Linked DNA regions of Struthio camelus. The protein of the gene in region 2 purifies or fractionates together with the protein of the main gene of each other region. This does not show direct contact. Links are inferred from orthologs where the notes say so. Each region holds a gene or a part of one and is shown on either strand. Other genes may lie near its edges. The genes, in order: TIMM50, RAF1, EMD and CCT5.

Region 1 (7,467 bases), on a different chromosome or scaffold from region 2:
CCGTTAAGTGGGCTCGCCGTGGGGCTGGGGGCTCCTGGGGCCCCCGTGAAGCGGGCTCGTGGTGGACCAGGGGGCTCCCGTGACCCCAGGGCCCCCGTTAAGCGGGCTTGTGGCAGAACGGGGGGCTCCCGAGGCCCCCGTTAAGTGGGCTCGCCATGGGGCGGGGGACTCCCGTGACCCCGGGGCCCCCGTTAAGCGGGCTCGTGGCGGACCGGGGGGCTCCCGTGACCCCGGGGCCCCCGTTAAGCGGGCTCGTGGCGGAACGGGGGGCTCCCGGGGCCCCCATTAAGCGGGCTCGCCATGGGGCGGGGGACTCCCGTGACCCCGGGAACCCTGTTAAGCGGGCTCGTGGCGGGGCGAGGGGGCTCCCGTGACCCTGGGACCCCCGTTAAGCAGGCTCGCGGCGGGGTGGGAGGCTCCCGTGACCCCGGGGCTCCCGTTAAGCGGGCTCACCGTGGGCCGGGGGGCTCCCGTGACCCCGGGACCCCCGTTAAGCGGGCTCGCGGCGGGGTGGGGGGCTCCCGTGACCCCGGGGCCCCCGTTAAGCGGGCTCGTGGCGGACCGGGGGGCTCCCGGGGCCCCCGTTAAGCGGGCTCGCCGTGGGCCGGGGGGCTCCCGCGGCCCCGGGGCCCCCGTTAAGCGGGCTCGCCCTGGGGCGGGGGGCTCCCGTGACCCCGGGGCCCCCGTTAAGCGGGCTCGCCGTGGGCCGGGGGGCTCCCGCGGCCCCGGGGCCCCCGTTAAGCGGGCTCGCCCTGGGGCGGGGGGCTCCCGTGACCCCGGGACCGCCGCGAAGTGGGCTCGCCGTGGGCCAGGGGGCTCCCGCGACCCCGGGGCCCTCCCCCGCCTGGTCTCCTCGGCCGGTTGCGGTAGCCCCGCCCCCTCCCGTGGCCCCGCCCCCGCCGGCCCACGCGCCGCGCACGTGTAGGCGCCCTCTCTCGCCCTTCCTCTGCTTCCGCCTCCGCCCGCTCCTCCCATTGGCTCGACGCGCCTCGGCACCGCCCCCTCCTCCGCCTCACCGAGTCGCCATTGGCCCCCTTTCGGGAGCGCGCCGATTGGCCCGCTCCCCCCTTCAAACCCCGCCCCACCCGCTTTCTCCCACCTCTCCCTCCCCGTCCGCCACCGCTCATTGGCCGGCCGCCCCGACGGGGGCGGGGCCGCCCGCCTTCCCCCCGCGGCGATTGGCCGCGGCGGCCGCGCCTGCGCCTTGGGTCTGGCGGTGCGGGAAGATGGCGGCGGCGGCGGCGGCGGGGCGGGCGCTGGCGGCCGGCGGGGTCCGCGCCGCCCTCGGGGGCTGCCGCGGCTGCCGGGCCCCCCCCCCCGCGCCGGCCCGCGCCTCCGGCACCGCCCCCGGCTCCGCCCCCGGCAGCGGCAGCGGCACCGAGGCGGTGCTGCAGGAGCGGCTGCGGCAGCACCAGGTGGGCGGGGCCGGGGGCGGGGCGAGCTTGGGCCTGGGGGGTGTTGGGGGGGGGTCTGAGGGGGTGAGGAGGGGGGAAAGAGGGGCCATGGGGCGTTTGGGGGTCTGGGGGGGTCAGGAGGGGTCGTGGGGGGTGTTTGGGGGGGTCTGAGGGGGTGAGGAGGGGGGAAAGAGGGGCCATGGGGCGTTTGGGGGTCTGGGGGGGTCAGGAGGGGGCGTGGGGGGGTCTGAGGGGGTGAGGAGGGGGGAAAGAGGGGCCATGGGGCGTTTGGGGGTCTGGGGGGGTCAAGAGGGGTCGTGGGGGGTGTTTGGGGGGGGTCTGAGGGGGTGAGGAGGAGGGAAAGAGGGGCCATGGGGTGTTTGGGGGTCTGGGGGGGGTCAGGAGGGGTCGTGGGGGGTGTTGGGGGGGTCTGAGGGGGTGAGGAGGGGGGAAAGAGGGGCCATGGGGTGTTTGGGGGTCTGGGGGGGTCAGGAGGGGTCGTGGGGGGGGTCTGAGGGGGTGAGGAGGGGGGAAAGAGGGGCCATGGGGCGTTTGGGGGTCTGGGGGGGTCAGGAGGGGTCGTGGGGGGTGTTTGGGGGGGTCTGAGGGGGTGAGGAGGGGGGAAAGAGGGGCCATGGGGTGTTTGGGGGTCTGGGGGGGTCAGGAGGGGTCGTGGGGGGTGTTTGGGGGGGTCTGAGGGGGTGAGGAGGGGGGAAAGAGGGGCCATGGGGCGTTTGGGGTTGGGGGGGTCAAGAGGGGTCGTGGGGGTGTTTGGGGGGGTGAGGAGGGGGGAAAGAGGGGCCATGTGGCGTTTGGGGGTCTGGGGGGGTCAAGAGGGGGGTCGTGGGGGGTGTTTGGGGGGGGGGTCTGAGGGGATGAGGAGGGGGGAAAGAGGGGCCATGGGGCGTTTGGGGGACTGGGGGGGTCAGGAGGGGGTGTGGGGGGTGTTTGGGGGGGTCTGAGGGGGTGTGGGGGGTGTTGGGGGGGTCTGAGGGGGTGAGGAGGGGGGAAAGAGGGGCCATGGGGCGTTTGGGGGTCTGGGGGGGTCAGGAGGGGTCGTGGGGGGTGTTTGGGGGGGGTCTGAGGGGGTGAGGAGGGGGGAAAGAGGGGCCATGGGGCGTTTGGGGTTGGGGGGGTCAAGAGGGGTCGTGGGGGTGTTTGGGGGGGTGAGGAGGGGGGAAAGAGGGGCCATGGGGCGTTTGGGGTTGGGGGGGTCAAGAGGGGTCGTGGGGGTGTTTGGGGGGGTGAGGAGGGGGGAAAGAGGGGCCATGGGGCGTTTGGGGGTCTGGGGGGGTCAAGAGGGGTGTCGTGGGGGGTGTTTGGGGGGGGGTCTGAGGGGGTGAGGAGGGGGGAAAGAGGGGCCATGGGGCGTTTGGGGGTCTGGGGGGGTCAGGAGGGGTCGTGGGGGGTGTTTGGGGGGGGTCTGAGGGGGTGAGGAGGGGGGAAAGAGGGGCCATGTGGCGTTTGGGGGTTGGGCGGGGTCAGGAGGGGGTCTGGGGGGTATTTGGGGGGTCAAGAGGAGGGAAAGAGAGGCCATGGGGCGTTTGGGGGTCTGGGGGGGTCAAGAGGGGGCCTAGGAGGTATTTGAGGGGGCTGGAGGGGTCGTGGGGGGGCAGAGGGGGTCAAGAGGGGGCCTAGGGGCATTTAGGGGGGCTGGGGGGTCCGAGGGGGGCTGGGGGGTATTTAGGGGGTCTGTAGGAGGCAGATGGGGTAAAGAGGGGCCTGGGGACATCTGAGGGGTCAAGGGGGGCCTGAGGGGTATTTAGGAGAGGGCTGAGGGGAGGCAGGTGGGGTAAAGGGGGGCCCTGGAGGTATTTAGGGGGCCTGGGGGTTATTGGGGGGGGGTCTCGGGGGGGAGGTCAAAGGGAGTCTGAGGGGAGGCCTAGGGGCATTTGGGGGGGTGGTAGGGTCAAGGAGGGGGCCTGAGGGCTGTCTTGGGGGAGCAGAGGAGGGTCAAGGGGGCCCTGGAGGCATCTGGGGGGGGTCAAGGGGGCCTGAGGGGTATCTGGGGGGGGACAGGAGCTAAAGGGGGGGCTTGGGGGCGCTTGGGGCATCTGGGGGGCAGGTAGGATCAAGAAGGAGCCTGGGGAGGGGGTAGGTAGGGTTTGGGGGGGGGGACAAAAACTTGTGCCTGGGGGACATGAGGGGCAGGTAGGGTCAAGGGGGGGCAGGTGGCTGGGGGGGGTGGCAGATTTGGGTTTGGGGGGGGGATAGTTTGGGGGATATGGGGACAAATTAGGGTCTGGAGGGAGCAGAGGCTTGGCCGGCAGATGGAGCCGTTGCCGGGGCTCCTTCAACGTCCCCAGGTGTCCCCACGGCTCCCGGGGTGTCCCCAGCCCTCGCTGGGGCTCGTGGGCCGCTCCCGGATGGCCGTGAGCGTCCCCAGATGTCCCCAGGGCTCGCCGGCTGTCCCCGGCTGTCCCCAAAGCTGTCCCCGGGGCTCCCTGGCTGTCCCCGGCCATCCCCAGGGCTCGCCGGCTGTCCCCGGCTGTCCCCAAAGCTCCCCGGCTGTCCCCGGGGCTCCTTGGGTGTCCCCAGAGCTCCTTGGCCAGCCTTGATGGTCCCTGGCTGTCCCCGGGGCTCTGGTGACGTCCCCGGGGCTCCCTGGCTGTCCCTGGCCATCCCCAGGGCTCGCCGGCTGTCCCCAAAGCTCCCCGGCTGTCCCCGGGGTTCCTTGGATGTCCCCAGAGCTCCTTGGCCAGCCTTGATGGTCCCTGGCTGTCCCCGGGGCTCCGGCGACGTCCCCAGGGGCTCGCTGGCTGTCCCCGGCCGTCCCCAGGGCTCGCCGGCTGTCCCCGGCTGTCCCCAAAGCTCCCTGGCTGTCCCCGGGGCTCCTTGGATGTCCCCAGAGCTCCTTGACCAGCCTTGATGGTCCCTGGCTGTCCCCGGGGCTCCGGTGACGTCCCCAGGGCTCGCCGGCTGTCCCCAAAGCTCCCCGGCTGTCCCCGGGGCCCCTTGGGTGTCCCCAGAGCTCCTTGGCCAGCCTTGATGGTCCCTGGCTGTCCCCGGGGCTCCGGCGACGTCCCCGACCCTCCCCGGCAGGCGGCGGCGGGGGGCACCCCGGGCCCCGACGAGGGGCAGGAGCGGAAGCGGGAGACGGCGGCCAACACGCGGCGGCTGCTGCTGCGCCTGGCCGGGCTGCTGGGCGCCGGCGCCGGCGCCACCGTCCTCTACGTCTTCGGTGAGTCCCCGGGCGGGCGCCGTCCCCGTCCCCGTCGCCGTCCCGCTCACTGCCCCGCTCTCCCCTCCCCGCAGGCAGCAACGCGGTGGACGAGCACGGCGCCAAGGTAATTACCCCCTTCTTCGTTAGCACCCGGCGGCTCCCCCCCCCCCCCACCACCACCGCTTTCTCCAGCGTCACCTTTCCCCCCCACCCCGGCGCTTCCGGACGGGGCGTTTCGGCCGGAAAAAGTCCCGTTTCGGAGGTGTCGGAGGGGTTTTGATATGCGGACCCCCCCCCCCCCCCCGGCGCGCCATCCCCGGCCGAGGTGCCAATTGCCCCCCGCCGCCGCCGGGACATCAAACGAGCCGCGGCGGAAACGAAGGCGCCAAATCGCCGCCGTGCCGGAGCCCCCCGCGGGCGCCCGAACGCCGCCAGGCCGCTGGGGTGGCGTGGGAAGAGGTTGGGGGGGGGGGGCGCTACCCTTTTATTCCCCCCCACCCTTTTTTTTTTTTTTTTATCTTCCCCCCCACCTCCCCGCAGATCCCCGACGAGTTCGACGCCGGTGAGTCCTCGCGCTCGCGTGAACCCCAGGAGGGCTCAGCGCGGGGCGGCCGGGCTTGAGCGGGAGAAAATTCGGGGTCCGGGTGCCGCCCGCGGCGTTCCCGACGCCGGGGGGGAGGGGGGGCCAAACGGAGCCTTTTCGGCCCCGTTTTAACGCTCGCGCTGCCCCCCCCCCCCCCCAAAGCGGCTTTTTTTGGTAACCGCTTTGGAGGTTCCCGGAGGGGAGCAACGCGCTGGGCGGGAGGGGAAAGGGAAGCGGGGGCAGAAGGAAATTCCCCGCCATGAAGGTGCGATTCCCCCCCGCTGGGGGGGTAAAACGGAGAAAAACGAGGTGTTTTAGGCCCCAAAAGGGTTGGTTTTTTATTTACAATGCAAACGCAGAGGGGAAGCTGGTGGGGGGGGGGTCTTGCATTAGGAGGAGGCTTGCAGGGGGGGTTAAACGCCACCATGGTGGTGGGAAGAGGGGGGGGGGTCTCGGGGACGACCCCCCTCCCCGCACCTCGGGGACCCGTCCTCACGGCCGCTTCGCAGACCCCGTGCTGATCCAGCAGATCCGCAGGACCTACAAGTACTTCAAGGACTACCGGCAGGTAGGGCACGGGGACGTCCCCGGCGCGGGGGCTCGTCCCCGTGCCGAGGGGTCTGTGTCCCCCCCACCCACGCCCCGGCGGGGTTCGTCCCCGCGACGGGGGTCTTTGTCCCCGCGACGGGGGTCTTTGTCCCCGCGACGGGTTGTCTTTGTCCCCGCCATAAGGGACCTTGCAACGAGGGGTTTGTCCCCACCGGGGCAGCTCCGTCCCCGCGGCCGGGGACGGTCCCCTCACCCCGCGCGTCCCGCAGATGATCATCGAGCCCACCAGCCCCAAGCTGCTGCCGGACCCGCTGCGCGAGCCCTACTACCAGCCGCCCTACACCCTCGTCATCGAGCTCACCGACGTGCTGCTGCACCCCGAGTGGTCGGTGAGTCCCCGCCGGTGGCCGTCCCCCTGCGCCCGGCCCGGCCCGGGGGACGCCCGGCCGGTCCCTTACCCCGCTCCTCGTCCCCAGCTCGTCACCGGTTGGCGCTTCAAGAAGCGTCCGGGCATCGAGAGCCTCTTCCAGCAGCTGGCCCCGCTCTACGAGATCGTCGTCTTCACCTCGGAGACCGGCATGGTGAGGGGGACGGCGGTGGCGGCGGCCCCGGGGTGGGGGGACACACAACGCGGCCGCCCCGCTGACCCCCTCCTCGCCTCCCCCAGACCGCCTTCCCCCTCATCGACAGCGTCGACCCGCACGGCTTCGTCTCCTACCGCCTCTTCCGCGACGCCACCCGCTACATGGACGGGCACCACGTGAAGGTAGCGGGCGCGCGGGGCCGGCGGCGGCGGGCCGACGCGCCGGCCCCGCGCCCACCCCTCTTCTTCCTCGCCGCCAGGACATCTCCTGCCTCAACAGAGACCCCGCCAAGGTGGTGGTGGTGGACTGCCGCAAGGAGGCCTTCTGCCTGCAGCCCTACAACGGGCTGGCGCTGGCCCGCTGGGACGGCAACTCCGAGGACCGCACCCTCTACGACCTCGCCGCCTTCCTCAAGAGTAAGACGGCGGGGTCGGGGGGCCGCGCGCGGGACCCCCCCGTCCGGAGCCCGGGGGCCACCCGCTCTCGCCCGCCTGACGCCCGCGCGTCCCCGCAGCCATCGCCCTCAGCGGCGTCGAGGACGTCCGCACCGTGCTGGAGAATTACTCCCTGGAGGACGACCCGCTGGCGGCCTTCAAGCGGCGTCAGTCGCAGCTGGAGCAGGTAGGGACGGGGTCGCCGGCGTCCCGCCGTCGACTGCGTCTCGGTGTCCCCCCGCTGCCGTTATCCCTGTCTCGGTGTCCCACCGCCAACCGCGTCTCGGTGTCTCCCCGCTGCCATTATCCCTGTCTCGGTGTCCCACCGCCACCGCTGACCGCGTCTCGGTGTCCCCCGCTGCCATTATCCCTGTCTCGGTGTCCCACCGCCGACCGAGTCTTGGTGTCTCCCCGCTGCCATTATCCCTGTCTCGGTGTCCCACCGCCGACTGCGTCTCGGTGTCCCCTGCTGCCGTTATCCCTGTCTCGGTGTCCCACCGCCGTCGCCGACCGCGTCTCGGTGTCCCCCGCTGCCGTTATCCCTGTCTCGGTGTCCCACTGCTGCCGTCAGCCGCGTCCCGGCGTCCCACCACCGTCATTACCTGCGTCCCAGCATCCCGTCACCGTTATCCACGTCCCGGTGTCCCGTCACTGTTAACTGCGTCCCAGTGTCCCACCACCGTCATTACCTGTGTCCCAGCATCCCGTCACCGTTATCCACGTCCCGGTGTCCCACCACCATTGTTACCTGCGTCCCAGC
Region 2 (7,678 bases):
TTTGGGGGGCAAAAGCACAATCGATATGTTCCTGTCCCCCCACCCAGACAGAAGTCCTGCAAGGAGCACGGAGGACCCCATCAGACTGCACAATCCACACTATAGGAACATGTGAAAAACAGAGAAAAAAGAGAACATACAGACTTCAAAAATTAAGTACGTAGCAACAATACGAACTACAACAACATAGTCCAGACTAGCTAATATCTGAGGGAGCATTGACTTAATCATGGTATGCAGAGTAGGTAGCCAACAATATCAATCTAACATACTCTGAACGTCCAGAATACTCATCCCATTCTTTTTGCTTCAGATTTTGAAGAAGTATGGGATATCTGCCAATAAAACGAAATACAGTATAGTATAGGAGTTTAGAGGGAAAAAGTAGAGTAACCTAACATTCTGGAAAAAATCTTACTACTTTCTTCTTTCCATTTGGTTATACTTTTTTTTCTCCTGCAGCCTGATTAACGATAATCCGTTATAAGCTTATGGTTTGGATTCAGTTGAATTGAAGTTAGGAATATGACTTGATGGTACTATTAAAAACTTATAAGCTTGAACCAGATGACAAACAGTATGGGTTTCATTCTCAAAAACAAACATGTATTACTGCCTAAAAAAAGGACACTGGGCAAAGTGGCTCTGATGACTATTGTTTGGCATAGGTCTATGTTTGCTAAAAAATGCACTTCCAGTCATCTGGGTGTGGGGATTTTCATGGAACAATCTTGATTAGTTTGCTTTCCTAAGGAAAGGAAGCTTAGGTAATGGCTCGGTCGATCTCTTGCTCCAAATTTCAAACATATTTGACACATGAGCCAAAGTCTCAGAAATAATTAAATTCCTATAAGTTTCCTGGAAGTCAGCAATTGAAGACAGAAAAAGGAACCATATTCATACCCCTAGTGAAGCAAAAGACGACCAAACTCAGAAATCAGCCATTGTAAATACTGTTTTAAAATAGCACCCTGGCCAGTCACTATGCACCTAAAGCTGAATTAGACACAGCATGTGAGTATTTTTGCCGTATGGAGGTGACATCAGAATAAGAAACATAGTACAATCTGGATTTATTATAGACACTTTATGGAAGAGAGGATATAAATCTGTAGTGAAGCATCTTTAGTTTCGCTGCTCATAGAGCAACTCGATTTTCTTGAAATGTACCCTTAACATTCAAAACACAATAAGCGTAGTCTTCTTGTTCTTAAAGAAGCGTGGAACAATATTCAGCAAAATATACCGTAGCTGAGACACTGATTAATTCATATACTGAGCGGAGGCATACATGATATTTTGCTCTTTGGCTGTAGGACAGCACCTCATTTCACATAGCACTTAAAAACTGTAAGATTAGTTTGATTTACCCAGGTTACCAGAGAATGAGAACTTGAACCTAGTTACTGAAGTTGGCAGTATTTTGAATCAAATTTTGCTGAGAAATAAAAAGCAGAGCCAGAGATATAACTGTGCAGGAAACTTTGTCCAAAGTAGCATGAAATGCTGGTCCTTTTTTTCTTATAGCATGGTCTTATCTGTATCATTCCTTTTTCATTTGTTGCTCTCAGCCTGGATTCCTTAGATAACTTTGCTAGAGACTTGAGTTTTATTGTGGATATGGAATATTGCCTAAAAGTTTTGCTCCTTGATTGTTCTGGCCGCTTTCCAGCCACAGTATTGCAAATGCAACACATTCTACCTGCTCCGGCAATCATTCTTTAAAATAAGGCAAAGGATAAAGAGCGCCATACACAATGAACTCTGCTGCTACCTCAATTAATGATTTCAGAAACTAGCAAAAGTGAGTTGTGAACTGAATCTCAGAGTGGCTAGTCCTAACTCTGTTATACTGGTTATGTGGGCCTAAAATCTAGCAACAGGTAAAAGTGGCAGGGTTAGTGTAGATGTCACTAAACACTGCTCAAGACCGCGTATCTTTTTGAATTACTAATATTTCTATGACAGTCCAATAAACAAAGGTTTACAGTAGCTTACTCCAGTCTATGCAAGCCTTTAAACTGTTCTCCTTGCGACTTTGGCTAGCACCTGCTGCTGACAATAGTGAAAACGTTGAAGACACCTGGGTTATATTAGACAACTCTTTGAAATTAGGAATACAAAAACTTAGCTGAGCTCTGTGAAATATTTATGGTTACATACAACCAAAAGAAAAAATACAGAATAACAGGTGGAATTACATGAAGCATATAAAGTTAGTAAGCTAGATTTTAAAGCCTCTGAGAGCACAAGTAACTAAAACTATACATCCAACTGGTATAGATAACCATGCCTGCTTGACATTTTCAAGTATGAAATCCCAATTTCTTCTGCTTGTTAGTTTGCCAAAAGTTTATTTGATCTGTAAATTTCCATGCTGGGTCTCTGCCATAAGGTGATTTTGTGTGTATGTGTGTGTGTCTGCGCATGCATAAAATACCAACAAAGATAGTCAATTTTTTGAAAAGGAAAAAAGTACACTTGTATCTGTTAAGCATTTCCACACCATTTCTTTGAAACTGCAGCGTGCCCAGCCTTTCAAGCAAGTGATTCAAATTCGGCAAGTTGGTTGTCTTGGTTCAAGGATGTTTCTCTTGCCATCTACGTGGACTGATAAAATTCCCTTTGCTGGACATCCACCAGATTTATTCAGAAGCTGAATCACTTGTTAATTTACAAGCCCCAGCAAAGTGAAATTATTATTAGGATGTGCTTCTCCACATGGGCTGCAAGGAGCTAATACCACGTCTGTTGTCCTTTCTCATGGTGGGGGCTTTAGAGTTAAACATCTAAGCCCTGAGACTTGTAACATGTATGTCAAACGTCTCCAAGAGACGTTTGTGCATTGCCCAGCGCCTGCCCCATGATCACTGTTTGCCTTCTCAGAGGCATGAGGAAGGCACAACACAGTACCCAGACTTTGCCCGGGTCTTTTAACACGTTTGCTCTCTGCTTAGAAGGTGCATCAGAAAGAAGATAAAAAAAAATCCTACCTTTATTTCTATTGCTTGATTTCCTCAGCACAGTGAAACAGATCTGGGACTGTGCTAAGCGTCTTTCAGGTTTCCAGGACTCTTTTTTGCAGATCTTGAATTTTCTTCAGAACATTATCTTTCTCCCTCTCCTAAATGTCACTATATTTTGACATCATTTTCTCCTACAGTTAAACTGGATCCTTCTGGTACAAAAGCTTGTCTCCTCCTCTGTGCTACTCAGAGCTTCCTGTGTGCTTCAGTGAGCCTGTTTGGTTTCCTCACCGCTAATGGGAACTGCGTGTCTTAGAGCAAATTGGTCTCTGCCTCAGCTCCCTGTTTTGGAAAAGAGGAATTGGTATTTTATGTCCCATACCTTTTGTCTTGTCCTCTGTTTCAGCTATAAGAAAAGGTAGGATAGGGGTTCATACCATATGCATAATGCACTTTTACTGAGTTATGAGAGAAGAGACTTCACACGAACCTGGAAGCACAGCACAGACTGAGTGCGTTAAGAGAAGCTGTAATTCTGTGCGATCTGAAGAAAGCAACAGTCTGGCATAAACTCCAGACCTTCCTGTGCGCTGAACCTCCTGGCTGACATAAGCTTTGATAAAGGAGGATATTAATGCTTTTCTTGCCACTTTTGACCTGCTGCCAGAAATTGTCCAGCTGTGGACAGTCACCAAAATGCTTGGAAGTTTTCTTTCTATCAAAGGAAATGAATGGCTGTTATTTCCTTAAAATGAATTCCAGATAAATAGCTGAAATATATTAAACTGCAGACTATCTAGGAAAAAATTAAATACTTAAATCTTTAGTGGTTTTCTTCTAATGAGAAATGAAGCCTATTCACTCATCTTTATTAAACAGAAGCTTCAAAGGATTTGTTCTGGAGCTGAAACAACAGTTAGATGAGGTATTGCGGGAGCCCAGCAGGACTGACAGCAAGAAAGTGAACCTCTGCTGTGCGCATGCAGCGCCTGCCACAATGGGGTTCTCACCTTGGCTTAGCCTCCTGGCTATTTCATAACGGCTGTGAGTCCTCAAACAAACTTTGCCTGGAGTTACACTAAACCAGGCTCACCGACACAGTGCCTAGTACAGCGCAACAGAGCAACGTATTTAGTTCCTCTGTGCTCTCAGGATCGCTCATTGTACGGTGCACATGAGCAGCTATGAAACTGGAAAGCGGGTGTTCAGGACAGCTATAAAGGAATCTGCCATTTTCATGCATAAGTAATGGGTATTTTGCATGTTTATTATCACATGTTTTTGTTTCAAACACAAGCAAACTGAGCCGTTGTAAAAGAACTTCAAATGCCCAGTGGTTCTGTTAACTTTTCCTCTGCTGGAAATTAAAATAGATAGTTCCAAATTTGTTCTACAGAGGGAATAAAGGGAATGAAGAAATGTAAATTAGCAGTACAGTTTTTTAAATATTTGGGTTGAACCTTTTAAATTACTTTAAATTATTCAAAACATTTCATTTTAGCTATACTATTAAAAACCAACTAAATAATTTACGGAAAATGCTGCGTGTGAAATGCTTTCAGGGTCACATTTGGGACAGCAGAGGTTTAGAAAGAATCCCTACTGAAACACCCATGCAGTTTTAAATGTCCACTTAAAACTGTCCACTTAAAACTGTCCACTTCTAGGTTTCTTTAGAATTTACACAATGTGAGCTACTGTACTTAAGACAGATCAAGAACCAAGTCAAATCAAAATGTTGCATAATGTAAGAGCCCAAGGAAGTAAGGTCTGAACCTATTGCTTAACCCACTGCAACAGAGCCCGTTGCCGCAATGCATTAAGAAACTGGATTAAGAGCTAAGACTAGACATTGTAATATCTCAGCAACATGAAATGCTGTACACGGGGCTGAACTTTCAGTTTAGTATGAAGGATGGCTTCGCAGTTCTCATGAATGCTAATGAGTCTCATGACAAAATTGTGGCACACTTTGAAAAAGCAATCCAGAATACATACAATCCTAATCGTCATTTGGAAACTTCTGACCTATATGCAAACTTCCAAGGAGCTACCTCTGCCGATACACTATCACTGCAATTACTCCATGGGTAGCCATGGAGCTCTAGTATTGTGTATATATCATACACTGTTAGGCAAACACACATCTACTTTTAAACGTCAGTTTCACAGTCTTATCATGGTTTTAATTTCAAACCATCAAAAAGGAGGGAAAAAATCTTCTGCAATTAGATCTTGATTAAAACTGGAAAGTTTTTTTACAAACAGTTCAGTCTAAAATCCTAAAATGGAAGGGAACAGTGAGGCTGGTCAGGAAAGGAGAGTCACAGTAAACGTTGCACTTACAAATGCAACTTTATACTTAATAAAAGTTAATTCTTGTGCTGGTTTAATGTTTAAACAGGAAAAGACAATTTCAAAGATGATTCGATTTTTCCTCAACAGATAAGAAAATTCCCACCAAACTCTTCACATGAGATTCACAAAATGCCTCTCAGAAATAGCACTTGTCCCTTTCTATCTGATCTCAGGCTAAATATTTGAACCTTGTGAAGCAGGTCCAACAAGTATCTAATCCTGACCAAGCAGGCCAGACAACTCGCACAACCGTTAATCTTCCATATGTCACTGTACAACCAAAACTTCTGCAAAAGCTGTGAAAATGGCAGTCCCCCACCAATCCCCACTGAGACTCACCAGCGCCTGAAAAGTCTTCCTGCACCCAGCTAGCCCACTGGCACCGTCAGCAGCGTTTTTGGTCCAAATGAGCAATCCAGAGGCTGAGAGAGGACCTCAGCTGAGAGGATGTGTGCAAACAGAAACAAAGTGCACCTGGGGTTAATCGTCCTCAGCAAGAGCAAAGGCAATAAGCTGCTGCGAACCGTCAGTGTGACTCGCCTTTCCCAAAGGCTCCAATGCGTTCTTTGTGTTAGCTGAAATACCTGCACCCAAAGGCTCAACTGGAGCGTCACATGGGTGACAGAGCTAAAAAAGGCAAACCCACAGGCTTAATTTAGACCGCCCCCAATATGTTAGTGTTTTCCCCTGAGATAGTTTATGTGTCTCTTCCAAACTTTCCTACAATCTTCCTGAAATTTTAATATCCTGGTCTCTTTGGTTTTGCACTTTTTCACCTTTTTATTTTTAGAATCAGTATTTCATAGTGGTCTGTAGAGTCTGCTTGACGCCAGCAAATGTAATTGGATCCCAAGTCCCTGCAAGACAAGAATTGCAGCCACGATCAGCATGCTGCCGAGAGCACAAACCTTGGCAGCGGTCAAAACCAAATAGTCTGAATCCTCTATTAATCTTACAGCAGGGCTTGGGAAAAGAGGCAGGAAGAGTTCATCAAAACGCAAAGAAGAGTAGCTGAGAAAGGTTAGGGGTAAGTAAATAGAAATCAAAGATGCAAATAGGTCTGGGGTAGAGATCTGTGTGACCAGACTTCCAAAAGCAAGTACAGGGTTTTACAAAAAAACAGAGATAGTTCATTCTCTAGTAACCTAGTAACAGGACAAGCATGCACAAAATGGATTGCCTTTAAAAAGGGTTGTGTCAGCAAGGTTGACTTTAGTGGAATAAATAAGAATGGTGATCTGCTTGGCGGCAGATCACTGCTGACAATACTCTCACAAGTCAGAATTTCCAAATTATAATAGTTCATTTGATAAACACATAACTGCAAGTATCTATTCTTTCCAGGAAAAGTGTAGGCCCCTATCTTCTTCTCAACCTTTGGTGAGCAGGTTGGGTTTTTACCTGACTGTCTCTCCTACATGGTGTGCAATTGGACTACATTTGATCTCTGATACCAAAGAGCGGAATTACCTCGCTTGAACATATTTCTTCCTTTCTAAAACTTCTGACCCTTTCTTCCTGTAGCAGGGAAGAAAATAAAGGATTGCCAGTTCATCTGATTGAGAAAATATTCATCCTAACTATTCTGGACTCTCTAAATAAGGTAACTAGTGCCTACTACTGAGTGTGACCACTTCACATAAGAAAAAACTTAATATATCAAGGCAGTTATTTGCCAAAGGTGACAGGATGAGTCAGCGGCAGAGCCAGGATTAGAATACAGTGTTCAGACTGCCCATCCCATGTCTCGCTCACTGAACTACTGCTCCTCCGGCAGCCTCCAGGGAATAAAGTTCATTTAGTTAGGTGGTAAATGCTCAACTCCTGCCCTCGCACTTCACCTTGTTACTTATCTAAGTTTTGTCAGGCTTAATTGTTTGTTGCCAAGAAAGAGCACAGGCCAAGAGAAACAAAAAAAAAAAAAAAAGATCTTATTCATGAACAAAGGACACTGCAACAGCAAAACTCCAGTCTGAGAGAACGAGAACAATGGTCATTGCCAATACATTGACTATATCCTGTGTATATAACTGAAATTGCTTGAAAAGGACTTTTCTATAAGGCGGTTTCTCTGTCTCTTCAAAAGCAGCGAATGCAGCATGAAAGAACTGTGAAGCAGAGATCTTGAACAGAGCAACGAACATAATCTCTCAGTTTTCTCCATGGCATGAAAAAGGTGCTCTCTTTTTTGATGCCATTTGGCATATTTTAAACTGGTTTGTTTATGCAACATTAGCATTTTTTTTCCCTTCGCATAGACGGTATTCAGTATTCTCATTTTCTAAACTGATTAGGAAGTAGGAAAGGCATCTGGGAATCGTTCTGCCAGCAGCAGGTGATGCCGTATTGGGTGC
Region 3 (7,897 bases), on a different chromosome or scaffold from region 2:
GGGGGCCGCGGGCCCCTGCGCCCCCTCGGGGGGCACTGCACCCCCCTACGAACCACCCGCAGGGATGCTGCGGGCCCTTACGTGCCATCTGGGAGGTGCTGCGGGCCCATACGTGCCATCTGGGAGGTACCACAGACCCACAGATGCCATCTGGAATGATGCTCCAGGTCCATATAGAGCGCTGGGGGGATGCTCCAGACCCATAGGCACCAACTGCGGTAGCTCCTAGTGCCCATATGGGGCACTGAGCAGATGCTGCAGACCTATATGTACCAACTGGGGACGCTACGGTCCCATATGGGGCAGTAGGGGGATGCTGCAGACCTATACGACCCAGCCTGGCATGCTATAGACCTGTATGTGTTCTCTGGGGTGATCCTGCAGGTCTGTATGCACCAGTCTGAGATGCTCTGGGTCCATAGGGACCATTTGGGGAGAAGCTCCAGGCCCATAGGGACCAGCCAGGGATGCTCCAGACCCACATGGACCATGTGCGGAAATGGACCATTTGGGGAGAAGCTCCAGACCCATAGGGACCATTTGGGGAGAAGCTCCAGGCCCATAGGGACCAGCCAGGGATGCTCCAGACCCATAGGGACCATTTGGGGAGAAGCTCCAGGCCCATAGGGACCAGCCAGGGATGCTCCAGACCCATAGGGACCATTTGGGGAGAAGCTCCAGGCCCATAGGGACCAGCCAGGGATGCTCCAGACCCATAGGGACCATTTGGGGAGAAGCTCCAGGCCCATAGGGACCATGTGGGGAGACGCTACGTGCAGTGGGGAGGATGCTGGTCCCCGTGTCCCGCCCCAGGCCGCGTGGCGGGTGCCCTGGGGGTGCCCTGGGGGCGGGGGGCCGGTGGCGGGGGCCGGCGCTAGCCCGCTGCGGGTGCCGCAGGCTGCACCAGGTGTACTTCGTGGCCCCCACGTGCCAGGGCGCGGGGCAGGAGAAGGTCTTCCTGGTGGGCGACTACTCATCGGCGGCCGAGTTCTTCGTCACCGTGGCCGTCTTCGCCTTCCTCTACGCCCTGGGCGCCCTCGGCGTCTACCTCTTCCTCGACAGCAAGTACCGGGAGAACAACAAAGGGCCCGTCATCGTGAGTGGGGGCACCGGGAGGGTGGGGGACGTGGGGGGGACACGGCATGGGGGGCTTGGGGCATGGGGGGACAAGACACGGGGGGCTTGGGGACATGGGCATGGGGGCCACAGGGATGGGGGGGCTTGGGGATATGGGACAAGACATGGGGGGCTTGGGGACGTGGACATGGGGGGACGACACTGGGGGGCTTGGGGACATGGAAGATGTGGGGCAGGACATGGGGATGGGGCATGGGAACATGGACAAGAGATGGGCACAGGGACATGGGGATGGGGGGCAGAAGGATATGGGGGACATGGGGCAGCTGGGCACGAGGATGTGGGGACAGGGCAAGGGGGAGTGAAGAGGACATGACATGGGGGACAGGACGTGGGGGCACGGGGACGTGGGGGCACGGGGACGTGGGGGTGGGGGGGACATGACACGGGGGAGGTGGGACAGGACGTGGGACGGGGGGAGGTGGGACACGGGGACACGGGGGGCCGGTGGTGAGGGGCGCCCCCGCCGGCAGGACCTGGTGGCCACGGGGGTGCTGGCCTTCCTGTGGCTGGTGAGCTCCTGCGCCTGGGCCAAGGCGCTGGCCGACGTCAAGGAGGCGACGGCGCCCGCCGGCGTCCTGGCCGAGCTGCCGGGCTGCCAGCGCCCCGGCGCCCGCTGCCGCGGCCTGCGCGCCCCGCTCACCTCCGGCCTCAACACCTCCGTGGTGAGCCCCTATAGCCCCCTATAGCGCCCCTCGAGCCCCCCTACGGACCCCTCTCGTCCCCTATGGCCCTGTTGGGCTGCCAGCGTCCTGCTCCCCTCTGGACTCAACACCTCCGTGGTGAGCCCCTATAGCCCCCTATAGCGCCCCTCAAGCCCCCTACGGACCCCTATAACCCCCCCATGGGCCCCTACGGACCCCTATAGCCCCCTATGGCCCTGCTGGGTTGCCAGTGCCCCGCTCACCTCTGGCTCACCTCCGTGTTGAGCCCCTACGGACCCCTATGGTGCCCCTATAGCCCACTATGGTGCCACCGGGCTCCCCTGGGACCTATAGCCCCCCCCCCAAGCCCCCCACAGTGCTCCCGGGGGACCTATAGCACCCCTATGGTCCCTCATGGTGGTCCCCTGGGATCCTTGCAGCCTCCCCCCCACACACTGTAGCACCCTTGGGACCTATGGCCCCCACAGTGCTCCCCCAGGGTCTATAACACCCTTGGAGCCCCCCCATAGAGCTCCCCCCAGGACCTATAGCACCCCTATAGGCCCCCATAGCAGTGCTCCAGGACCTATAGCACCCCTAGAGCTCCTGCAGAGCCCCAGGACCTATAGCAGCCCCGCAGCCCCCCCCACCCCCTCCAGCCCCCCCGGTGCCCCATAGGCGGCCCCCTATAGCGCGGCCCCCCCCGCAGGTGTTCGGCTTCCTCAACCTGGTGCTGTGGACGGGCAACATCTGGTTCGTGTTCAAGGAGACGGGCTGGGGGGGCCCCTGGGGCCGCGGCCCCCCCGCGGGGGCCCCCGAGAAGCAGGCGGCCCCCGAGGGCTACGGCCCCGGCGGGGGGGGCTACGGGCAGCCCGAGGGCGGCTACGGGCAGCCCGGCGGCTACCAGCCCGACTACGGCCAGGGGGGCTACGGCCCGCCGGGGGGGTACGGCCAGCCCGAGGGGGGCTACGGCCAGGGCGCCCCCACCTCCTTCGCCAACCAGATGTAGGGTGAGTGGGGCTGCGGGGGGGGGCGCTGGGGTGCCCCACGTAGGGCTCTGGGGGGCAGTCGGGGGTGCCTGGGGGGGCTGGGGTGCCCCCATGGGGGTTTAGGGGGCAGTGGGGGGAGCTGGGGTGCTCCACGTAGGGGTCTGGGTGCCCCCATGGGGGTTTAGAGGGCATTGGGGGGGGCTGGGGTGCCCCACATAGGGGTCTGGGTGCCCCCATGGGGGTTTAGAGGGCATTGGGGGGGGCTGGGGTGCCCCACATAGGGGTCTGGGTGCCCCCATGGGGGTTTAGGGGGCATTGGGGGGAGCTGGGGTGCCCTACATAGGGGTCTGGGTGCCCCCATGGGGGTTTAGGGGGCATTGGGGGGAGGTGGGGTGCCCTACATAGGGGTCTGGGTGCCCCCATGGGGGTTTAGGGGGCAGTGGGGGGGGCAGGGGTGCCCCACGTAGGGGTCTGGGTGCCCCCATGGGGGTTTAGGGGGCGGGGGGGGCAGGGGTGCCCCACATAGGGCTCTGGGGGGCAGTCGGGGGTGCCTGGGGGGGCTGGGGTGCCCCCATGGGGGTTTAGGGGGCAGTGGGGGGGGCTGGGGTGCCCCACATAGGGGTCGGGGGTGCCCCCATGGGGGTTTAGGGGGCAGTGGGGGGGGCTGGGGTGCCCCACGTAGGGGTCTGGGTGCCCCCATGGGGGTTTAGGGGGCAGTGGGGGGAGCTGGGGTGCCCCACATAGGGCTCTGGGGGGCAGTCGGGGGTGCCTGGGGGGGCTGGGGTGCCCCCATGGGGGTTTAGGGGGCATTGGGGGGGGCTGGGGTGCACCACATAGGGGTCTGGGTGCCCCCATGGGGGTTTAGGGGGCAGTGGGGGGGGCTGGGGTGCCCCACGTAGGGCTCTGGGGGGCAGTCGGGGGTGCCTGGGGGGGCTGGGGTGCCCCCATGGGGGTTTAGGGGGCATTGGGGGGGGCTGGGGTGCACCACATAGGGGTCTGGGTGCCCCCATGGGGGTTTAGGGGACAGTGGGGGGGGCTGGGGTGCCCCACATAGGGGTCTTGGGGACAGTGGGGGGGGCTGGGGTGCCCCACATAGGGGTCGGGGGTGCCCCATGGGGGTTGGGGTGCCATGGGGGGCAGCCTTGGGGGGCTGGGGTGGCGTCGTGGGTCTGGGGTGCCCCACGGGGGTCGGGGTGCCGCCGTGGGTCGGGGTGCCACTGACGGCCTCTCTCCCGCAGGTCCCCCCCCGCAGCAGGGGGCGCCGAGCCCAGGAGCTGCCCTGGGGGGCAGGGGGCGGGGCCTATGGGGGCGGGGTGGCCCCGCCCCCTCTGTCTGCACCTATGGTGTCTGTGGGGCCTGCCCCATAGCCTGCCCCACAGCCCCGCGGCCTGCCCCATAGCCCTGTCCTTAGCCCCACGGCCTGCCCCATAGCCCTGCCCCATAGCCCTACAGCCTGCCCCCTTGCCCTGTGCCATAGCCTCGTGGCCGGCCCCACAACCCTGCCCCACGGCCTGCCCTGTGGCCTGCCCCGTAGCCGTGCCCCACGGCCTGCCCCACGGCCCCGTGGCCTGCCGCGCAGCCCTGCCCCACGGCCGTGCCGCCCCCCCTGCCCCCCAGCCCGGTGTCTGTCTTGTGCCGTGATCGTGACGTCTGGGGCCCCGGCGCCCCCCGGCCCGCCGTGGGGCAGGGTGGGGGGGGTGGGGGGGGGCGCGACCCGCCGGCCCCACGGAGGGAATAAACGAGGAGAAACGAGCCCGGCCCGCGTCCTCCTTGGGGGGGGTCTGCCCCACACGTGTGGGGCTGGGCTGGGGGGGGGGGCCGGGGCCCCCGCCCGGCAGGAGCCCAGGCGTCCGGGAGCCTCCCGTCCTCCTCACCCCGAATGGGCCCAGGCGTCCGGGCCCTGCCCTATATATGTGGGGGAGAGGGGGCTGCCCCATAGCGCCGGGTGGGCCCGGAGGGGCGTGGCCCCGCTGAGAGCACGCCCCTTGGTGGGCTTGGCCACGCCCCCGATAGGTTTGGCCCCGCCCCCGGCGTCCTGTCCGCGGCCTGGCGGGCTGACCCCGCCCCCCGCTCGAGCTGACCCCGCCCCCCGCTCGAGCTGACCCCGCCCCCGCTCGAGCTGGCCCCGCCCCCCGCGCGCTGGCCCCGCCCCCCTGAGTCACTTCCCTTCGCGCGCGCGGCCTGGACGCAGGAGCGAGGTACCGGGACCCCCGAGCGGCGCCGGGCCCGGCCCTCGGGGGGCCCCACGGCCCTGCCCCATAGCCCCGGGGGGCCCCGTCCCCCCACGGCCCTGCCCCATAGCCCCGGGGGCCCTGTCCCCCCACGGCCCTGCCCCATAGCCCCGGGGAGCCCCACGGCCCTGCCCCATAGCCCCGGGGGCCCCTGTCCCCCCACGGCCCTGCCCCATAGCCCCAGGGAGCCCCACGGCCCTGCCCCATAGCCCCGGGGGCCCTGTCCCCCCACGGCCCTGCCCCATAGCCCCGGGGAGCCCCACGGCCCTGCCCCATAGCCCCGGGGGGCCCTGTCCCCCCACGGCCCTGCCCCATAGCCCGGGGGGCCCCACGGCCCTGCCCCATAGCCCCGGGGGCCCCTGTCCCCCCACTGCCCTGCCCCATAGCCCCGGGGAGCCCCACGGCCCTGCCCCATAGCCCCGGGGGCCCCTGTCCCCCCACGGCCCTGCCCCATAGCCCCGGGGAGCCCCACGGCCCTGCCCCATAGCTCCGGGGGCCCCTGTCCCCCCACGGCCCTGCCCCATAGCCCCGGGGAGCCCCACGGCCCTGCCCCATAGCCCCGGGGGCCCCTGTCCCCCCACGGCCCTGCCCCATAGCCCCGGGGAGCCCCACGGCCCTGTCCCATAGCCCCGGGGGCCCCTGTCCCCCCACGGCCCTGCCCCATAGCCCCGGGGAGCCCCACGGCCCTGCCCCGTAGCCCCGGGGGCCCCTGTCCCCCCACGGCCCTGCCCCATAGCCCCGGGGAGCCCCACGGCCCTGCCCCATAGCCCCGGGGGCCCCTGTCCCCCCACTGCCCTGCCCCATAGCCCCGGGGGGGCCCATGTCTCCCCATGTCCCCTCATGTCCCTGCCCCATAGCCCCGGGTGGCCCCGTGGCCCTGTCCCATAGCTCCAGGGTGGCCCCATGTCCCCTCATGTCCCTGCCCCATAGCCCCGAGGGGGGCCTGTGTCCCCTCATGTCCCTGCCCCATAGCTGCAGCATGGCCCCCTCTCCCCCCACGTCCCCCACATCCCTGCCCCATAGCCCCGGGGGGGCCCCTGTCCCTGTCCCCTTCCCTGTCCCGCCAGCCGCCCCCCGTCCCCGTCCCGCAGCCTGCTCCGCGCCCGTCCCCCCGCGTGTCCCCGTGTCCCCCCACATCCCCCCCGCGTGTCCCCCCATCCCCGTGTCCCCCCACGTCCCCCCGGTGTCCCCACATCTCCATGTCCCCCCACGTCCCCCTGCGCGTCCCCACATCCCCGTGTCCCCCCATCCCCGTGTCCCCCTCGTGGGTCACCTCGTGTGTCCCTACGTCCCCATGTCCTTACATACCTGTGTCCCCCCGCATGTCCCCTCCGCGTGTCCCCACATCCATGTGTCCCCCGCCCCCGTGTCCCCCCACGTGTCCCCCCATGTGTCCCCACATCCCCGTGTCCCCCCGCGTCCCCCCGTCCCCGTGTCCCCCCGCGTCCCCACATCCCCGTGTCCCCCCGCGTGTCCCCCCGCGTGTCCCCCACGTCCCCGTGTCCCCCCGCGTGTCCCCACATCCCCGTGTCCCCCCGCATGTCCCCCACGTCCCCGTGTCCCCCCGCGTGTCCCCACATCCCCTTATCCCCCCGCGTGTCCCCCCGTCCCCGTGTCCCCCCGCGTGTCCCCCCACGTCCCCGTGTCCCCCCGCGTGTCCCCACATCCCCGTATCCCCCCGTGTGTCCCCCCGCGTCCCCGTGTCCCCCCGCGTGTCCCCCCGTGTGTCCCCCACGTCCCCGTGTCCCCCCGCGTGTCCCCACGTCCCCGTGTCCCCCCGCGTCCCCCGTCCCCGTGTCCCCCCGTGTCCCCACATCCCCTTATCCCCCCGCGTGTCCCCACATCCCCGTGTCCCCCCACGTGTCCCCCACGTCCCCGTGTCCCCCCACGTGTCCCCCCGTCCCCGTGTCCCCCCGCGTGTCCCCCGCGTCCCCGTGTCCCCCCGCGTGTCCCCCCGCGTGTCCCCCCACGTCCCCGTGTCCCCCCGCGTGTCCCCACATCCCCGTATCCCCCCGTGTGTCCCCCCGCGTCCCCGTGTCCCCCTGCGTGTCCCCCCGTGTGTCCCCCACGTCCCCGTGTCCCCCCGTGTGTCCCCCACGTCCCCGTGTCCCCCCACGTCCCCGTGTCCCCCCAGGCCATGCAGAGCTACCGGGGCCTCACGGACAAGGAGCTGCTGGAGAAGCTCAAGAGCTGCCGCATCCCGCACGGCCCCGTCGTGGGTGCGGGCCGGGGCGCGGGGGGCGCGGGGTGGGGGGGCCGGGCGTCCGGGGGGGGGGCCGGGGGGCTCCTGCGATGGGGCTCCTGGCCGTGGGGGGTGCCGTGGGGCAGGGGGTCCCAGGGGTCCTGACCCCCCGCCCCGGCCCCCCAGGCTCCACGCGGAAGCTGTACGAGAAGAAGGTCTACGAGTACGAGACGCAGCGGAGCCGCGTGGGGGGCGGCGGTGAGTGGGGGGGTCCTGGGGGGCTGGGGCAACCGGGGGGGGGCGTGGGGCACCCTGGGGGGCTCCGGGAGCCCAGGGGGGCAGTGGGGTCCTGGGGCGCTGGGGGACCGCAGGGGGGTAACTGGGGTCTTGGGGGGTCCCAGGGGGCTGGGGGGGCCACGGAGAGGTGGGGAGGGACCCCAGGGAGCTGTGGGGGGGCCATGGGGGGGCTCCGGGACCCCAGGGAGGCAGTGGGGTCCCAGGGGGGCAACTGGGGTCTTGGGGGGGCCACAGGGAGCCAGAGGATCCTGGGGGGACTGTGCAGGTCCCTGGGGGGTGTTGGGGGGCAGGGGGTCCTGAGGGGCCCCTGGGGGGCCAAAGGGACCCCGGGGGGGCAATGGGGCTCCCGGGGGGACACCACTCCCCCCAGTGACGCTGTGTCCCCCCAGACCCCGGCTCCTCGGAGACCTTCATGCA
Region 4 (7,601 bases), on a different chromosome or scaffold from region 2:
AACAACTTTCCATAATTTCTGTACAGGTGATACGATCAAAACCACACAATGGGTTGAGAAAGAGCAAGGAGAACAGGATGGGAAATAGAGAAGAGATAGAAAATGGCATTCTCATGCTACCTCCCTACATATTTGAGTGTCTATCATGAGATGCTACGCAACAGAAACTGCAATTGGCGAAAACTTGTGTTCCATAGCAACTAAAAATGGGAGACTTCCGTTTTTCTACTGTGCTGCTTTATGCCATCTCATCTTCTTGCTTCCTTACATCCAAGCTCCACAGTAGCATCCAAGAAAGTTGCCTAATGTCCAAAGAGTAACAGACAAAAAACAACCCCCTCCTCCCCAAAAACACTAACCAGGAAATGAGATTAATGCTTCTTTATCGTGCAGCAAGTGTGCTAGAATTTGTCTTGAAAGTACTCTTACAAAGTCTCTGATACAAGATGTTTGTAACAGTCTTAATACTTACAAGGGACTATACATACTGAGCAAAAGAAGATTAAATCACTACTACAGGATCAGCCAACTAAAAACATGCTCTTATGGAAGCATAATTCTGAAGTTACTCTATGTCACCCAAGGTGAGATGGACTGAGCCACTGGGAAGCTGGCTAACTCTACAGTGAAAAATGCTACAATGGAAATGGAAACCAGAGTTTTACATCTGCAATCTGAATTTGTATCTACTTGAAGAAAAAAAAATAATTTGCACTTCTTTCAGCTATACTGTCTTTTAAAAAACTCTGAGCATGTAGTTTTTAGTAGTGAGAGTCAACAGACATAACCAATTAAGAAAAAAAAAGATAAAGAGTCCATTGAGAAATTGGCCAAAAAAAGTCAAGTAAATATGAAAGAGCATTTAAGAGCCACTCCAATAACATAAATAATATCACAATCCATCAAAATATCAAGTAAAAATCAGGATTTCTCCTTTCAATTCAAAGTGTTTTTAAGGAAAAAGGCAACTCTTGTTGTGAACTTTTCATGAACTTACACTTTAGAGCCTAGAGTTGTCTTTGCTGTCTGGATCAGAGGCTCAGTATTCTGTGGATCAACGGGAAAGCTGTCACTGATTTTGTCTAGATGTTCAATAGCAATGCGAGCTGCCTGTTCATAACCATCTGCAATTCTGATAGGGTGAATACCACGATCTAGTAGCTGCTCTGCCTGTTCCAACAATGCTCCAGCCAGAACTATAAAACAAAATTTAAAATAAGGTTTACACTTCCACAGATTGAGACATCATTTTTAACATATTAAAAGAAAAAAATTACACCTTCAGATTTTGTTTCTGTTCTCTTTCAATCTTTGTAGAAAGAAGACTGTATTATTTTAGTCTAAGAAGAAGCACAAGGATCAAGGTGGGACAAGAAGAAAGTCATGCAAGAAAAACCTCTGAAAGTAGAGGGAGGACTTTCAACACTAACTTCAAATGCACCCACACGTTAAAAACACACAAAACATCTTTCTGATTAACACTTCAGTATTGTTGTTAATTCCTGTATTAGGAACCTTTTAAATATTTAAAAATACCTTACAGAAATGGTATATTTACAATCAAACATCACCATCTCTGAAATTAGTTCAAGAAACTTGATTTTAAAACTGGAAAAGTTACGCTAAGTTTAAAATGTTTTCTTACCAACAACTCCCGTAGTTCCATCCCCAATCTCATCATCTTGAGATTTAGAGAGCTCTACCATAAGTTTAGCTATCTGGTGATCCACATCCATCATGTTTAGAATAGTAGCACCATCATTTGTCACAGTCACCTCACCATCCTTGTCTACCATCATTTTATCTAAACCTAAAAAAAATTCACAGCATGAGGGAAAAGCCAAAAAACAAACAAACAAACCCCAACAACTTAAAAAATTACTAAAAGAATTTTTAAAATTATTTCATCATTACCATTGGGCCCAAGAGATGTTCTCAGAGTATTTGCCACAGCTTTTGCTGCCATTATGTGAGACTACAAAACAAAGAAGCAGTAAGTTACATCATTATTAACACTCCCAGAATCGCAGCATTAAGCTAATACAGAAAAAGAGCTAACTGAAAATTAGGTATTACAATTCAACTAGAAGCAGCCAATTTTAAGTAAGAACAAATTGAAACATGCACACTGCCTTTATGCCAGAAACATCTCCCATGCCGTTTCTTCACTTACACAGTTAAAGCTTGCAATAGTAGAGGAGCAGCTAGAACGATTTCTTGGCGCGTTTAAAGCAGCAGTAACAGATGCAAATATCACGGGGGGGGGGGGGGGGAAGAGGTAAGAGTAGTTTTGCTGTACTTCTCTGTCATTATTTTACCGCACACCCGCACACAGTGCTTCTGAGGCCGGCATGGCCTGACCCGCTGCCTGCGGGCCGGGTTTAGCCGTGGCCTTTCTTCGGAGCAACACCGGCCCTAGCCTTCAGAAGAACGGCGCCCCACGAGGAGCCTCCCGGCCCGTGGAGGACTGCGGATTCCCGGCCCCAGGGCCGATGCCTTCTCCCTCCCTCCCTCCCACGCGGCCGGGCCCGGGCTAGACTGCGGTCCCGGCGCCAGGGAGGGGAGCGGGGTGCACAGGCAGAGGCGCCACGCCTCAGCAGGCTCCATCCCCCGCCACGAGGCCTAACGGCTCCCCTCCACTGCCGCACGGCCATAACGGCGGCACGGCCCTCCCCACCAAGGCTCACGGACGGAGGAGCGCCCGCTCGCACACCCACCTTGAGCGCCTCGAGCCCCATGAGGCGCGTCTTGCGCTCCTGGTCCTTGAGGATGAGGAAAGGCCGCCCATACTCATCAAACGCCAAGGTCCCCATAGCCGACATGATGGCTCCTGCCCGCCCAGCCAGCACGAGCCGAACCGCACCGCCGCCGCCGCGCCCAGGCCGCGCTGACGCAGCACGCCCGCCCGCCCGCCCGCCCCCTCGCCCCGCGCCTGCGCAGCCGACACCGCCGCGACACCTTTCACAAGCGCAACCTATCTGGCGCCGGCGGCGGACCTTTCTGGAAGCGCCTGAGGCGGGTGGGGGCCGTGCGGCGCTGGCGGCGCGGCCCCGGGCAGCTGGGAGATACCATTCGGTAGAATACGGGGAGGAAGCGCCCTGGCGGTGTACCCTACCTCTGCAGCGCCAAACCTCTCCTTACGATGCGCAATCAAAAAGCTTCCCCCCCCCAATTGATTTAAGTGGTATCGTCCTCCAGTATAAGTATTTCCGGGTCAAAGCCTGCAGCCGGTCTGGCGTGAGGTTTTCCGTTAGCGGCGGGGAGGGGGGAGAAGGTGGGTTCGGCGGCCGCGCCTGCGCCGTGGCGCCCGAGCGGGCGGCGGGGGTGCTGCCGGGCTCCTCCTGCGGGCGGGAGAGTCGCGCCCGGCCCGGCCCGGCCCGGCCCGGCCCGGCCGCGTTTCGAGAAGGTTCGCTCGAGCCGAAGAGCGGGCGGGTCGGCGGCGTCGGGTGGGAGCCGCCGCTCCCTTCACGGCTCCTGCCCCGGGCGGGAACCACCAATAATAACTGCCCTTCTTCCCTCCCCCCCTAATTATTATTATTAAATAATCTAGTAGTTTATCTCCTCAAAAGCAGCATCCTAACTTCTCCGTAAGGCCTAAGAATCAGTTAACGGGATATAAGACCTGCTGCTGCCTTGTCTGTTAAACAAACGTATAATAAAGCGATTTGCGTGAGGAAATACTCTTCGGTAATGTCTGTCCTCAGGTGCGATGCCGGAAGCGCTGCGGCAGGAGGGCCCCCCGCCAGGCCTGCCCGTGGGCTCTGAGGGCAGCTCCAGAAGGAGGAGCTGGGGGCTGCTGGTTACTGGTGGCGTCGGCGGGACCTTGGTGGCCTTGTATGCCGTTGTCACCCCGTTTGTCATGCCAGCGCTGAGAAGAGTTTGCCTGCCTTTTGTTCCCGCAACTTCAACTCAGATTGACAACGTGCTGAAAATGTTAGGGAACAGAAGCGGCCCCCTGGTTGACATTGGGAGTGGGGATGGCCGTGTTGTAAGTTATGGAGATCAGCTTCCTTCTATATAATCCCCCAAAAGAGGGGCAAAGGGTTTCTATAGTGTAGTGTGTCTTCTCGTATTTATGAATGTCTTGTCTCTGGCATTTAATATTATGTAAATGCGCAAAGCCAAGACAAGTTTATATCTGATTAGCGTAAGCAGTGAATGTTTTTGTCCCAGGCTTGCCTTCAGCTTGACAAGGTATCGTGCAAAACCCTAACCTCATCCTCTTGGTTGGAGGGGACTGTACAGTGTGCATTCACCTAGAAAGGTGTGCTCAAAGTACTAGCTCCTTAAGAGCTGTGGTTCCGTGTGTTTTTGTAGCCGCAGTATGTAAGGCTGCAGGTTTAAACAGAGCTTGAAACAGTGCAGGGAGACATCATGCCTGGCAACTTTTGGAGCTGCTGCTCTGTGCTTGTTGCATAAAGGTGATAAAAGCATGAGAGAGTGAGAAACAAACAATGGGTTAGAAAAGAAAAATAACTCTATCCTTAAAACTGTAGTTTTCATACCTTATGTGCTTTGTGCAGTGCAGGCTGCCTCATTTTAAAATGGGTATAGTAAAATGAGAATCATTTTAAAGAGGAATGAGAATTACTGGAGGTATGGAAAGGCTTCTGTACTGGGCGTGATCAGACTTTCAGTACAGAACTTAGCTGAAGGATGCTTCCATGTGAAAATGATATAGCAGAGACAGTTTTGCTGGGCTCATATATTTTCAGTATTACAGCAGCTGTTTCTCAATGTCAGTTTTTATGCAGAAATATTAAGGCTTTCTTCCAAGTAAAGCAAGCTGTTCTGTGATTGAGCTCAAGTACCTGACCCACCTGGTTTTGACTAGGTACTGATTTTATATATGGGTGACTAAATGCAGACTGAACGCTACTCTTGAGAGCCAGGTGCTTAAAATTGCATGCAGTGATGCTTCGTGTTGCCCTTGAGTGTTTGTCCTCAAATTAAGTTGAGTTTTGTGTTCTGATACTTTTGAATGTTTAGTGCTTTTTCAGGTATAATCTGTAAGTAAATGCAAACATATCTTTATTTACAAACATGGTCAAAATGTTGGATTTTTCTAGCATGTTTACAAAGGCTGAGTGCATGATGGAAAAAGCCCTTTTCCTAATAATTAATGTGAAACACACTGTGCCATAGATACTGTCTGCAAATTTTATTAAGAAATATTTACTTCCTCCTTGACTCTACCTTACCTATTCTGTAATTCGTAATTAGTCATACTTTTCCTGAATGATACTTGACAGTAACCTTTCAAATGACTTAAAGCTAGATTTTAATGTTTCTACTAACTTGTGCCTTTTTGTTTTGTGTTTTCATTGAAAAAGTTCTGAAAAATAATCGGATATTAATCTGTAGCTGGGAGGCAGTTGCTGTACAGGTTAACAATTCTAAATACCAGGATCTTAATTTAAATGGGTGCATTTGAAAATCAACTTGTATTATCTGAATTACCTGTTGCTATTTAAAAGTATATATGAAGTGTAGCATTAGAAGAAAGCTCTATTGTGATATATTTGTTTTTAGGTAGGTCAACTGTTTATTTTCATACTCTATCTATTAGTAGGTCATTTTGCCTCTGAATCAGAGGTATCTCAAATGCCTACCTGGTAATGTGTTTGAAATAAGCCAGGTCCTTTCATTTTGAATGTCTAGGCGTTTCTGCTTGTGTGCTTTGATTGTCTCAATGATCATCTGCAAGGTAATGTCATGAGTATGTTAAATTTAACTTTTGTATAAATTACAGACATACTGCAAGTTTACAGCTTAGTCCTGTGCAGATTTAAGTGGTTTGTTTTGTTCCTTTGAATAAATCTATTAATTTCAATATGACTAGTCAGAGTAGTAAAATGCAGTTTGTATGAGCTTTTGTTCATGATTTTGTACTACCAGTGTGTCTGGAATGCAAATCTGTGTGTCTTGCAAAGTGCATTTTGTTGATTTCTATTGTAAATAAAATTATCTTCTTTATCCTATTGAGACTAATACATCTTTTAGCATTCCTTCCCTTCTAGAATGAAGGTTTTCTTTATTTTTTTTTGTAGGTAATAGCTGCTGCAAAAAGGGGATTCAAAGCTGTTGGTTATGAATTAAATCCCTGGTTAGTCTGGTACTCCAGATACCGTGCCTGGAGAGATGGGGTACATCGGAACACCAAATTTTATATTTCAGACTTATGGAAGGTAGGTGGTGAAACGCGTAAGAATAAATGAAATTGGGATTTGTGAGGAGAGTATGGAGTTTTCTCTAATTCGGAGATAATTCCCTAAAACCACTAGAATGCGTTCAGCCACCAGATACTTGCTTCCTTGGGCCTTGAGTAAAGTACTTAACATCCGCAGAAAGTAGGCTCACAGCACAATAAGCAGCTTTGTTGGTTTTGTGCTTCAGTGACACGTGCTGTCCTTAGAGACTGCTCTCAGTATGGCAAAGGCGTCTTGCGCATACTACTTCGTGCCTTTCTGTTTGGTGAATGATGTGGGTCACTTTAGTATCTAGCTTCACTGAAAGCTGATTCTTTGAAGTCAGTAAGAAGACTCTTTTATTCACCTCGTGCTAATGTGCAAGATCATGGTCTCATTTGACGTTTCATTAAATGTGTGTTCTTTTGTAACTGTGCAACTCTTAATTTTTGAGAATTGCTTTAAGATCACTATTGCATACATGTAACATTTTTTTGACATACGTGTTCACTCATTTCAATCAAACTGCTGCTTTGATGAGACTATTTTTCTGTTGTATTTATGCCTGGCTCTGCCCTGCTAGTTCTATTGAAGGGTTTTTTTTTTGTTTTGTTTTGTTTTTTAAAACACTGACACATTGTAATGGGCAACGTGGATACAAGAAAGTGGATACGAGAAACTTGGCAGGCAGAGTGTGAATATACTGTTTCTAATCTTTGTTCAGAGACAAGCATGGAAAACTTCTGACAGAACTAGGGATAACCTAGCCATTGGAACATCTAGGAAGTTTGAAGTCTAGCCGGCCCTTAACAAAAGGGGAGTAATCCTAAAACATTCCTCATTTTAACGTATGTGAGGGTTGTAAAAGAAACTTAGCCATAAGTAAAACCATGTAGGTATCTTCTGAATTGGGGAGTGTGTGTCTGAATTGATTTTTTTGCATGTGCGCTACTGGAATTCATGCCAGATTTTTGACCAGCTAGTAAAAGCTTTCTGCTACTCAGCAATGTAAGGTGTCTTGCATAGGGGAATTTGTGATGCTGACATGATATGGGATCTCCTTTCTTGTTTTTGGTCTTAAGCCCAAGGATTAGTTTGAAAGGAATGTAGCTAAAAGCCTTTGGGAAAGAATGGTACCAAATCTTCCAGTTATTATATATGCCAATTGTCTTAAAAGACTTACACTCACTTTTTTTTTATAGGTTTCTTTTTCTCATTACACGAATGTTGTTGTCTTTGGGGTACCTCAAATGGTGAGTTTTACTTTTTTTTTCCATTATCTAACTGCTTTAATATCAAGGCATTCAGTGTTAGTAGACTAATTTTAAAAAAAATGAATCAACCTACAGAATGTCAAAGGTAGTTGCTAATATTTTGATATATTCCATTGTTGCCTACTAATGTTCATGATGA

What was found.
Region 1: the proteins of RAF1 (region 2) and TIMM50 purify together in Homo sapiens (affinity purification with mass spectrometry; 4 studies listed by BioGRID and IntAct, with this or other methods). This does not show direct contact. The link is inferred for Struthio camelus from reciprocal best matches to the Homo sapiens genes RAF1 and TIMM50.
Region 3: the proteins of RAF1 (region 2) and EMD purify together in Homo sapiens (affinity purification with mass spectrometry; 3 studies listed by BioGRID and IntAct, with this or other methods). This does not show direct contact. The link is inferred for Struthio camelus from reciprocal best matches to the Homo sapiens genes RAF1 and EMD.
Region 4: the proteins of RAF1 (region 2) and CCT5 purify together in Homo sapiens (affinity purification with mass spectrometry; 3 studies listed by BioGRID and IntAct, with this or other methods). This does not show direct contact. The link is inferred for Struthio camelus from reciprocal best matches to the Homo sapiens genes RAF1 and CCT5.

What each region holds. Positions count from the first base shown.
Region 1 is NC_090957.1:1,563,292-1,570,758, reverse strand, and holds the start of TIMM50 (mitochondrial import inner membrane translocase subunit TIM50), read left to right. Parts: upstream 1-4,462; 5' UTR 4,463-4,575; intron 4,576-4,649; 5' UTR 4,650-4,681; intron 4,682-5,097; 5' UTR 5,098-5,119; intron 5,120-5,649; 5' UTR 5,650-5,708; intron 5,709-5,958; coding exon 5,959-6,078; intron 6,079-6,165; coding exon 6,166-6,270; intron 6,271-6,356; coding exon 6,357-6,455; intron 6,456-6,532; coding exon 6,533-6,689; intron 6,690-6,787; coding exon 6,788-6,894; intron 6,895-7,467. UniProt on the Homo sapiens protein: Essential component of the TIM23 complex, a complex that mediates the translocation of transit peptide-containing proteins across the mitochondrial inner membrane. Has some phosphatase activity in vitro; however such activity may not be relevant in vivo.
Region 2 is NC_090955.1:19,911,356-19,919,033, reverse strand, and holds the start of RAF1 (RAF proto-oncogene serine/threonine-protein kinase), read right to left. Parts: upstream 3,014-7,678; 5' UTR 2,994-3,013; intron 1-2,993. UniProt on the Homo sapiens protein: Serine/threonine-protein kinase that acts as a regulatory link between the membrane-associated Ras GTPases and the MAPK/ERK cascade, and this critical regulatory link functions as a switch determining cell fate decisions including proliferation, differentiation, apoptosis, survival and oncogenic transformation.
Region 3 is NC_090979.1:105,491-113,387, reverse strand, and holds the start of EMD (emerin), read left to right. Parts: upstream 1-4,895; 5' UTR 4,896-4,968; intron 4,969-7,135; 5' UTR 7,136-7,138; coding exon 7,139-7,220; intron 7,221-7,369; coding exon 7,370-7,441; intron 7,442-7,869; coding exon 7,870-7,897. Other genes in the region: SYP (synaptophysin), read left to right, coding at 898-1,096, 1,611-1,802, 2,491-2,790. UniProt on the Homo sapiens protein: Stabilizes and promotes the formation of a nuclear actin cortical network. Stimulates actin polymerization in vitro by binding and stabilizing the pointed end of growing filaments. Inhibits beta-catenin activity by preventing its accumulation in the nucleus.
Region 4 is NC_090943.1:80,615,269-80,622,869, reverse strand, and holds the start of CCT5 (T-complex protein 1 subunit epsilon), read right to left. Parts: upstream 3,012-7,601; 5' UTR 2,823-3,011; coding exon 2,718-2,822; intron 1,976-2,717; coding exon 1,915-1,975; intron 1,811-1,914; coding exon 1,646-1,810; intron 1,197-1,645; coding exon 998-1,196; intron 1-997. Other genes in the region: ATPSCKMT (ATP synthase subunit C lysine N-methyltransferase), read left to right, coding at 3,710-3,988, 6,051-6,188, 7,391-7,441. UniProt on the Homo sapiens protein: Component of the chaperonin-containing T-complex (TRiC), a molecular chaperone complex that assists the folding of actin, tubulin and other proteins upon ATP hydrolysis.